2 linked regions of the Caenorhabditis elegans genome follow. The protein of the gene in region 2 purifies or fractionates together with the protein of the main gene of each other region. This does not show direct contact. Each region holds a gene or a part of one and is shown on either strand. Other genes may lie near its edges. The genes, in order: deps-1 and cee-1.

Evidence for each region.
Region 1: the proteins of cee-1 (region 2) and deps-1 fractionate together in Caenorhabditis elegans (co-fractionation; one large-scale study listed by BioGRID). This does not show direct contact.

Annotation. Positions count from the first base shown.
Region 1 is NC_003279.8:504,309-509,595, reverse strand, and holds deps-1 (P-granule-associated protein deps-1), read right to left. Parts: upstream 3,124-5,287; 5' UTR 3,120-3,123; coding exon 3,009-3,119; intron 2,958-3,008; coding exon 2,851-2,957; intron 2,795-2,850; coding exon 2,580-2,794; intron 2,532-2,579; coding exon 2,371-2,531; intron 2,320-2,370; coding exon 2,188-2,319; intron 2,143-2,187; coding exon 1,891-2,142; intron 1,842-1,890; coding exon 1,701-1,841; intron 1,653-1,700; coding exon 1,548-1,652; intron 1,499-1,547; coding exon 1,265-1,498; intron 1,215-1,264; coding exon 1,105-1,214; intron 1,059-1,104; coding exon 839-1,058; intron 792-838; coding exon 720-791; 3' UTR 625-719; downstream 1-624. Other genes in the region: Y65B4BL.7 (uncharacterized protein), read left to right, coding at 173-334, 382-624; Y65B4BL.4 (Dolichyl-phosphate-mannose--protein mannosyltransferase), read left to right, coding at 3,384-3,503, 3,547-3,776, 3,825-3,936, 3,991-4,090, 5,142-5,273. UniProt on the Caenorhabditis elegans protein: Component of P-granules which is required for P-granule formation and integrity in adult germ cells. Promotes the accumulation of glh-1 mRNA and localization of pgl-1 to P-granules. Involved in RNA-mediated gene silencing (RNAi) in the germline.
Region 2 is NC_003281.10:4,910,816-4,914,633, reverse strand, and holds cee-1 (Get4 family protein), read right to left. Parts: upstream 1,936-3,818; 5' UTR 1,931-1,935; coding exon 1,765-1,930; intron 1,722-1,764; coding exon 1,505-1,721; intron 1,454-1,504; coding exon 1,093-1,453; intron 1,049-1,092; coding exon 898-1,048; intron 849-897; coding exon 655-848; 3' UTR 501-654; downstream 1-500. Other genes in the region: rars-1 (putative arginine--tRNA ligase, cytoplasmic), read left to right, coding at 1-213, 271-377; F26F4.2 (PDZ domain-containing protein), read right to left, coding at 2,686-2,919, 2,968-3,102, 3,150-3,254, 3,302-3,373; F26F4.9 (Glutaredoxin domain-containing protein), read left to right, coding at 2,196-2,211, 2,273-2,425, 2,467-2,627, 3,540-3,691, 3,736-3,818.

The sequences.
Region 1 (5,287 bases), on a different chromosome or scaffold from region 2:
TTTGTTTCTCGGGAAAACTGTAAAATCGATTGCAACAAAAGTTTGAAACTACAGTACTCCTTAAAGGCGCACACTCTATTGGCATTCAACTGACAACAAAAATTTGTCGTGGTGAGACCCGGCCAGTGCATTTTTTAGAGCAAAAATCGCCAAAATTTCGCATTTTTTGCAGTACTGTGACCTTTGCCTCCGTGTTTCCATGGAATTCATGTTCCCGGTGGGTGTGCTCATTGTGTTCTCGATCACACAGATTCTTATCACAGTATCTCCGGGAATGGCTTCTCGTATTCGGAATCCGATTCCATCACTGGCTTCGTTCATCTATATGTCATTTGTTTGTTTTTAACCTTCTGATACACCTAATCTTTTCTGAAATTTCAGTTTTTCAAGTGCATAACGAACTTGCTCACGTCTATCGCGATGCTACCCTATCTTGGATGTACCGATCAACCATCATTTTGGGGGGAGTATCTCGCTGCCGGCTTGTTGGGACTTTTCTGGATGTATTCGCTGCTTAACATGGGTGTATTCACTAGAATAACCTACCACAACTTCATTAGAGCACGAGAAAATTACGAGAGACAAGTTGTGCGGAATGGGATGGTGGTGGAACTTGAAGTTTAAATAAATAAATGTTTGGTTGGATAACGGGTAGATTAAAAATGAGCAGAACATTTGAAACACAAATACGGGGGAAAACGGGATGCGTATATATTTAATTAGACCCTGGAAGATGTTGAGCTTTGTGGAGTACCAGATGGAGTTCTGCGGCTTGAAGGGCCAACGAATCGCTGAAAAACTTGTTTTTATCATCTTCCAACCTTAAAAATAAACTTACGTTTGAGCTCACTGAAGTAGCTGCAGATGCTCTTGATTGAATTGATGATCTGGATCCAATGGAACTTCCAGCTGGCGTAGTTCTGGCCGATGTTGCTCTGCTCGAATTCGCGCTCATTGCAATCAACGGAGGACAGATGGCTGTCGAGCATACTTCCATGATGGTAGCAGCACGGCGACAATCATTGACAGTAATGGATTCACGGACCCATGCCAGGAACCTTAAAATTCAGTTACAATTATTTTTACAAATCCTGACACACTCACTTTCCTCTACATGGAGTCTCCAACTCTCTGAAATCCACAAATCCCATCGAATCACTCTCCGCCAACTGCTCATGATCGCAATTTGGCTTCAAGTACACTTGGAACAAGCGCTGAATATTTTCCTCATAGAATAAAAACTATTAAATAATTGAAGACTAACCGTATCACCAGAGACCGAGTAATTTTTACAAGTGAACGCTGGACATGGAGAACATTCGGTGATCATAATTTCACTGTCGACTCCAGCTTGTCGCTTTCCAACGAATTGAACTCCTCCGCCAATGGGGATTCCTTCCTTCAAGTTATTGGGGATTTTGAAGTAGACATTCGGATGTTTGGCACAAATGACAGTGTCTTCATTGATTCGAATTCCTTTGACTGGACCAACAACGAACTGAAAAATTCAGGGGTGAAAAGGACGAGTTTAATTTAACTTTAGAGACCTGAGTATCACGAAGCCAGTTTTCAAAAATGGACATTCCCGATGTACGAACAATGCGGTAACGGACAGATTTGTTTTCTGAAGTTCGAACAGCACGAACTTCGGCCTGAAAATTGAAAGCGTTTGTTTCAAAATAAGACCCACTCATGATTACCATAGCCTTCAAGAATTCATAACCAGCTGGATGAAACTCGAAGAATGAAAGAAGATGGTGTGGGTCATCAATCAATCCAAGAGTGCCCTCCTTGTCAACGAAGAGACCTCTGATACTGGCAGGAACGACGCGGGTAAGGAGCTGAAATAAAAATTATGTTCTGGACAAAAAAATCAATATTATAACTTACATTTCCGTTGACAGAGGTTACATGCTGTCTGAGAAGTGGAACTGGCTGAAGCTCATAGATCAGAAAACCGTTGTGCTGCATCGACCAAATAGCACTGAAATGAAAGTATTCTCCGACGGCTGGGTAGATCAAAGTCTTGTCCGTTCCTCGGGAAAATGGCTTCTGCAGTGGGATAATAAAGTCGAACTGCGAGAGTTCTTTGCAAATCAGTAGGCGTTCGCCGACATACAGGCCAAGCTGCATCTTGATGACCTGCAAAATCAAATTGTCAACGAGAATCCACAAAGCAACCTTAACCTCGGCCCATTTGTCTTCTGGCAAGTGCCAGCCTTCTCTCGGCTCGATATCAATTTCGTCGTCGCTATCAGCAGGCTTTGGATCCGGGCGCCAAACACCGAATTTAGAGTCAGGAGAGCCTGCGTTCCATGGCTGAAAGTTATTTGTTCAAAATCCCGTAAAAAATTTTTAAAAAGCAAATACCGCTTCACAGACGCGTGCTTGGTCGGATGGATCGCAACTGTCAAACGATTCGAATGTTGCAGTCATATTGAAAGGATCTAGACCACTCTTCATGGTAGTTTCGAATCGAATCCAGGCGTATAGCCAAACGTCTGGCTCCGCACGGGTCGCCTCTGTCTCTGCTGAAATAAATATATGGTTAGAGAGACGAAAATCAAGAAGAAACATACGCATGGTGACGGTGCATAATGGCGTCCAGAACGAGGTCGTTGAGGTGGGCTGGATGACGCCACCGACTTTCAAAATAAGTCCATTTCTGCTGGAAGACGCTTCATAAATTGGTTTTTCTCGTTTGATATGAAGGATTATCCTCTTATCGTGATCACAGTCCGATTCGTTCCATAGGATGACTTCACCGAACTTTAGCGGGATTTTGGATCGACGTCTAAAAATTCAAGTGTTAACAGATTAAAAATGGGCTCAAATCAAATAAATACTGACTCAAGATTTTTTGCCTCTTCGATATTATCGAAATTCCTCTCCAAGTTTGTTGGAACAAATGCGCACTTGGAGACACCGTACATGATGTTCTTCGGGGCCGCTTTTCCCTGAAAACGAGCTTATTATTTTAAATATGAAAACGGAGGGAATTCACGTACATGAGCTTGAATGAGATAAACGAGGTCCGTCTCCGAATCTTGGTTATCTTGTCCAGTGGAGGAAATGACGATACCTTGATAGTCAAAATATTTGGATTGGCGTTCTGACATTTTTGTCTGAAAATTGGATTTTTTGCAACAAAAAAATGATGAGCGAAACGAAAAAAAAGAAAAATCTGTAAAAAACGTAGGATTCGAAACAAATTTCCCACGAGAAATCAGATGCGCGGCGCAGTGGTCTCACCACGAAGAGCTACCGTACCTTAAAGGCACATTGGTGTTCAATGGCGGAAAAAAAAGTTTCGAATTTTTCCGTTTATTTTTCCATTAAAATTCTGTTTTAAAACTTATTTTTTCTGATTTTTCAGCGAAAAAATGGCAGATATTAGTATCCGCTCGACAAATTCCAATATATCTCGAGGAGCACGTCCGGAATCAGGCCGCCTGCACCGAAAATACCCGTATCGCTGGCTTTTCGATCAAGTTCATGTCAAAGTAATCGATTTTTTCCGTCTAAAAGCTAAATTTTAATTTTCAGAGCCTGATATTCCATGTGGAAGTGGGAATGCTCGCCATTGCCATCATCGGGCTCTACAGGGCCAGTCAAATGAGTGTCGACGAGCATTTCGAGCCGCCATCCGTTCCCGGCTTCGATGGACTTCAGTGGAACGGCGAAACGTTTCGAAACTTCAATGGAGTGCTGATCCGCCCGAATTATGTGCCGGCTCGGAATTTAATCAATATTTTCTCGTATTTTCTGATTTTTAGGTAGGGTTTCAGGGGATATTTTAGACTTTTTCCATCGATTTTCTTCAGCATCGCAACCGGATTCTTGGGAATGAGGCTCTCCGAGACGAGCATCACACGTCGAAACTTTCCCCGGAAAGTCAACCCGGCTCTTCTACTCATTCCATCCGCAATTTCTGTGGTATTTTGCTAAAAAAAATCGATATTTTCCCTTGAAAATCCTAAATATTTTCAGATTTCCATCTTGTACCCGCTCTCCGTGTGGACGCTGCGGACTCTTTACTCAATAATAAAGCTTTTAATCAAGGAGAATCTGAAATTTTCGATTTTGTTAGGTAGAATTTTTAATTTTTAATTTTTAAATGTGGACTACACCCTGTGGGGAAATTGCTTTAAAACACGCCTATGGTACCACAATGACCAAATATCACGTTAAAAAACTTCAAAAAAAATTTATAAATTTTATATGATTTTTTGAAAATTGAAAAAATCTGAAAAAGTTTTTGCCTAATTCCTATTTGAATTACCGCCAATTGAACTCGTTCGTTGGAGCGCGCTTGCATTATTTTTTTTATTAATTTATTCTATTTTTCTTCTATTTTTTCATTCCGTGATTATTTTCACTCGGGAATCGCTCGCCCACTATGGGGGAGTCTACGCAAGGACAACGCAAGGACAAGGACAACATTTTAATGGAATGGAAACGATTGCCCGACTGCACCAATTCTAGTTCAAGCGAACAATGATAACTTTTGTATTCTGTATTCCTTCACGTCTCCCAGCGAGCGTAATAAATTATTATTATTATTATTATTATTATTATTATTATTATGTCACTGATTTTCTTCATTAGTTGTGTATTTTTATCGGAAAGAGAAGTAAAAAAGCAAGATTAATGCAGAATGTTTGCTAAAAAGTGTTTAAAAATGTGAAAAATACGTAAAACTGTAAAATAATGAGTTCCGACGACAACAAACCTGAAACTAGCATATTTTTCAGTTTTACGCATTTTCAGTGATTTTTTAATCGGAAATTTGCATTTATTTTAACTTTTTCTCTAAAATTCAAGCAAAAATACACCGAAAACATTGAAAATCGGTGGAAAATAACAATAAATAAAATAAATAAATTTAAAAACGTGCAAGCGCGCTCCATCGAACAAATCCAATTGGCGGTAATTCAAATAGGAATTAGGCAAAAACTGAGATTTTTTCGATTTTCAAAAAATCATATAAAATCTAGAAAAATTTTTTGAATTTTTTAATCATGATATTTGGTCATTGTGGTACCATAGGCATGTTTGAAAGCCATTTCCCAACAAGGGTGTAGTCCACCTTTAAAGATTTTTAATTTTTAATCTGAAAAATCTTGATTTCTTCACTCCAGACGCCTGCCGATTGTCGTTTCTTCCCATCATCCTAGTGTGGGCAGTCTATATTTATTTTCTCTACGGATTCTGGCTAGGCGTGCTATATTACCAGCGACGAGGCGATCAGCCATCTCCGACTACCAATAATAGTGGGTTTTTCGAG
Region 2 (3,818 bases):
ATTTGGTCAAATACATTGCGAGTACACCAACACTCCCATTGGATCATCCAGGAGAGTTTAAACTCGCCAAACAATTGTTGAAGCTCTCGGATTGTGTTCTTCTTGTTTTGGACAGTCTTATGCTTCATCAAATGTGCGACTACGTATATCAGTTGGCCACTCTGTTCCACGACTTCTACAACGAGTGTTACGTTATTGAAAATAAGGAAGGAGGTATGTGTGTAATTACATGTCGAGCCTTTTAAATAATTTATGGAATCTTATTTTCAGAAAAACCATTTGTCCATATGCATCGTCTCGCTTTGTGTGATGTTACCCGAAAAGTCATGTCAACATGCTTCAAGATTCTCGGACTTCGCGAAGTCAACAAGATGTGAGCACCGGTGTTTTCTTCTATCATCCCCGTTTGTTGTTGTTTCTTAATTATTTGTTCATTTTTTGCAACGGCTCGTATTTATCTATTCAGAACGTTTTCCACTGTGGGATCCTATTATCACCAATAAACTCGAATTTTTATATTCAATAAAAAGCATCAGTTAAACCCAATATCACATGAAAGAAGAGCGGAACAAAAAGGGGTAATCGGGGAATATTTCCAGTAAATAAGGAGCAATTTTCAATAAGAAAAGGTATAGTTTAACATGAAATCTAAACTTAATCGAGATCCTCTTCCATTTCAACTTTTTGAATTTTCTTTGGAACTGGAGCTGGAGCCGGTGCACCAGCAAGAGCGCCAAATGGACCGAATGGAGAAGGTTGAGACATGGCAGCTGGCTTTTGACGAGCTGGAGTCCGAGAAGTGATATGAGAAGTTGCAGTTTCTTCCTCTTTTTGACCACCAAGAAGTCCTAAAATAAATGTGTTAATTATTTTTTTAAATTAAAATTTTAAGCGAACCTGAAAAAAGTCCACCCAGACCGCCGCTCATGCATTGATTATCACGAATTCCGAAATAGAGCTTCCCAATTCTCGTGAGATATCCAATGAATGCGAGGGACCTTTTCAATTCTGTTTGATAGCTAGAGGTGAGCTCCGAATATTGAGGTTGCTGGAAAAACAGTTTTTAAAAGTCAGTGTTCGTTTTCAACTCACGTTTTCCGTCTCAATAACGTCAAATAATATGTGCTGGAAATTGAGCAATGGCTTTGTGAACGGATACTTGGCAGGAGCCACGTATTCAGTGAAAAGAGATACGGCAAATGGGAAACGATCGAGACAGAGTGACTGAAAAACGGCTTCAACAATAATGACTTCTGGTTCAGACTCTTTTTGTTTAAAGCTTTCATATTCTTGGTGAAGGAAATTGGCGAATGATTTAAAGTCATCGGAAAGCAAGAAATGATTTTTGGCAAGTTCCACATGATCGACGGCAACTAGCTTTTTGGCGAGAACAGTATGAAAGGCTGCGGAACCGTATTTCTTCTCAATCGGAGTGGTTGCTTTTTGCTTTGTCCTGAATTAAATAATCAAATAATATTTTAATTGCCTCGACAAATAAACCTACCATTGAATGGCCAAGTCAACACATTTACAACGTGCAGTGTTCAACAACTGTTCGGGTTCTGAATTTCCAGCCTCGTTCTCAATCTCTGCAAAATTAGCGAACTTTGAGACGCTATCAGCAAGAATATTGAAGGCTTCTTCTCCAAGATCAACGTTATTTTTCGAGAGACACTCGGCATATTGTGTGGTGATATCGATGGCGCATTGATATTGTTTTTCTGAAAATAAAAAAGATTTGATTTTCTATTTTGGTTTTCAAACCTCTGAAGAAGAATTCCAGTGCGTGTTTAACGAGTGGAATAGCCACTTCATTTGCATTTTTCAATCGGAAACTGCGTGTGACCTTGGTCCGGTAGAATTGAAGAGCATCATAAAACTTTTTCTCTTTTTCAAACTCTGACAATCTCGAAAGAGTTGTGGCGTCCATTTGATCTCAAAAAAAGAGAAAATGTATTCAGAATATTTCAAATAAGATATTTTACAAGAAAACTCAAAATTTTATTTCGATTTTGTGGTTTTAGAGACGAAAAAAAAGTTAAATAAAACTGGTTGAAAAATCGTGGAAATGCACAAAAATTGACTAATATTCTAGGCCACGGCCGAGAATCCGAATGTCGTGTACTCCTCTCGGACAAGACAAGTTGTCAATTTTTGGTGTTTTTTCGCTATAATTCAACGTTTATTAAAGCAATATGGGTACTCTTCAAGGTAATAACGAGAATTTCAATAGTTCAACTGTTGAGCATATATTTAAGCGATATAATTATAGATCTTCGAACAAGCACCTGGGCGTTTCTTGAAGTTTACGGATGGATGACAGTTTTTGTTGTGATCTTAATATACATTCTTTTCAAGAAGTATATTTATGACTTAATGGTAGCGAGAGAAGAAGAACGAAGGCTTATCGAGCAGAAAAAGTTCGGTAAGAAAACCACAGATTTATCCATCAATAAAACGTTTCAGATAGACAAGTTCAAGACAGAGAAGCCGATAAGATGCGATTGGCAAGACAGAAACAACAACGAGAGCACGACGAGAAAGAGAAAATTGAAACATCAAAACGTGAAGAGAAACTGAAAGAAGAAGCCGAAAAAAGGCAACGAGAATATGAAGAACAAGAAAAGGTAGTTACTTTAATCAAATACAAAATATTTATTGCCTCCAAATCGTACTCTTTTTCGCTCAAACAATTTTCTTCCATTTGTTGCCAATTTTGATGCGAGCTGGCACAAAATCGGGGCACTCGATCTCCAACTTCAATTTCTTCTTCTCCTCACGATCAGGAATTGTGACTTCAACATCCAACTCCAAAATCACTCCGTTGCACGAGACGATTGGCGAGACACGAACTTGATCAGTCAAGACCTTGCATTGGAGTTTCTTTGCCGCAGAAGCATTGGAACCGTTGCGAATTTCCTTCAAAAAACTATTATTATTTTGGGGACTTTTTTTGAAGAGCAATACCACAGTCTCCATTTGTTCCTTAGTCGAACTCATGCAACTGTACTCGGAAAGTTTCTTGCTCTTCGAAGATTTCTCAGATTTCTGCAGAGGCGGTGACAGAGACAATGGTCTTGGCTCATCATGGATCTGCATGCTCTAGAAATTTGCAATTTTATTAAAAATTGAGCCGGCATCTACTGAACCTTTGAAGCAATGACATCCCCAGTACTACGTCCGATGGTTCCATTCAACGGTTTGGTCACTTGCACTTCACAGCGGTCCCCTTTCTTTGGCAAAGCGAGCAAAATCTGAATGATTTAGAATGAAAGTCTGAAAATTTCATTGAAAAACATACCTTCTCGACTTCATTGATGGTATGAAGAGAAAGACCATTCAAATAACAGATCGTTGCATTTGCATCCGCCATCTTTGAAACTAAAATCCAAACTGATTTCAATCGAAGATTTTCATATTGAACAACAAAAAAAAACAAACACGCAGTTTGTAGAGCTTCACGGAACGAACTTTTTATTTATTTATTAATTCTTTTCTACTCTTTTTGAATTTTGAAATTAACAGAAATAAATTTTCAGACTTGTAACGTACTTGGCCACTCGTCATCAACATCGTCTGTATTAAAAACATCAATTATCAATAAAAACGAGAAAGCCATCAAAATTGTGGAGAATATTCCGGACTCAGCGCCAATTGTGGTTTTTGGAGAAAGCAACTGTCCAGAGTTTAGGTATAATGAAAGGCATTTTCAACAAAAAACATTAGGTTTTACAGAAAAGTTTGTCAATTGGTGTCAACATATCGACTCGATATCTCGAAATTTCAAGTTTTTGAGCATGATAAGCAGTCAGATTGGC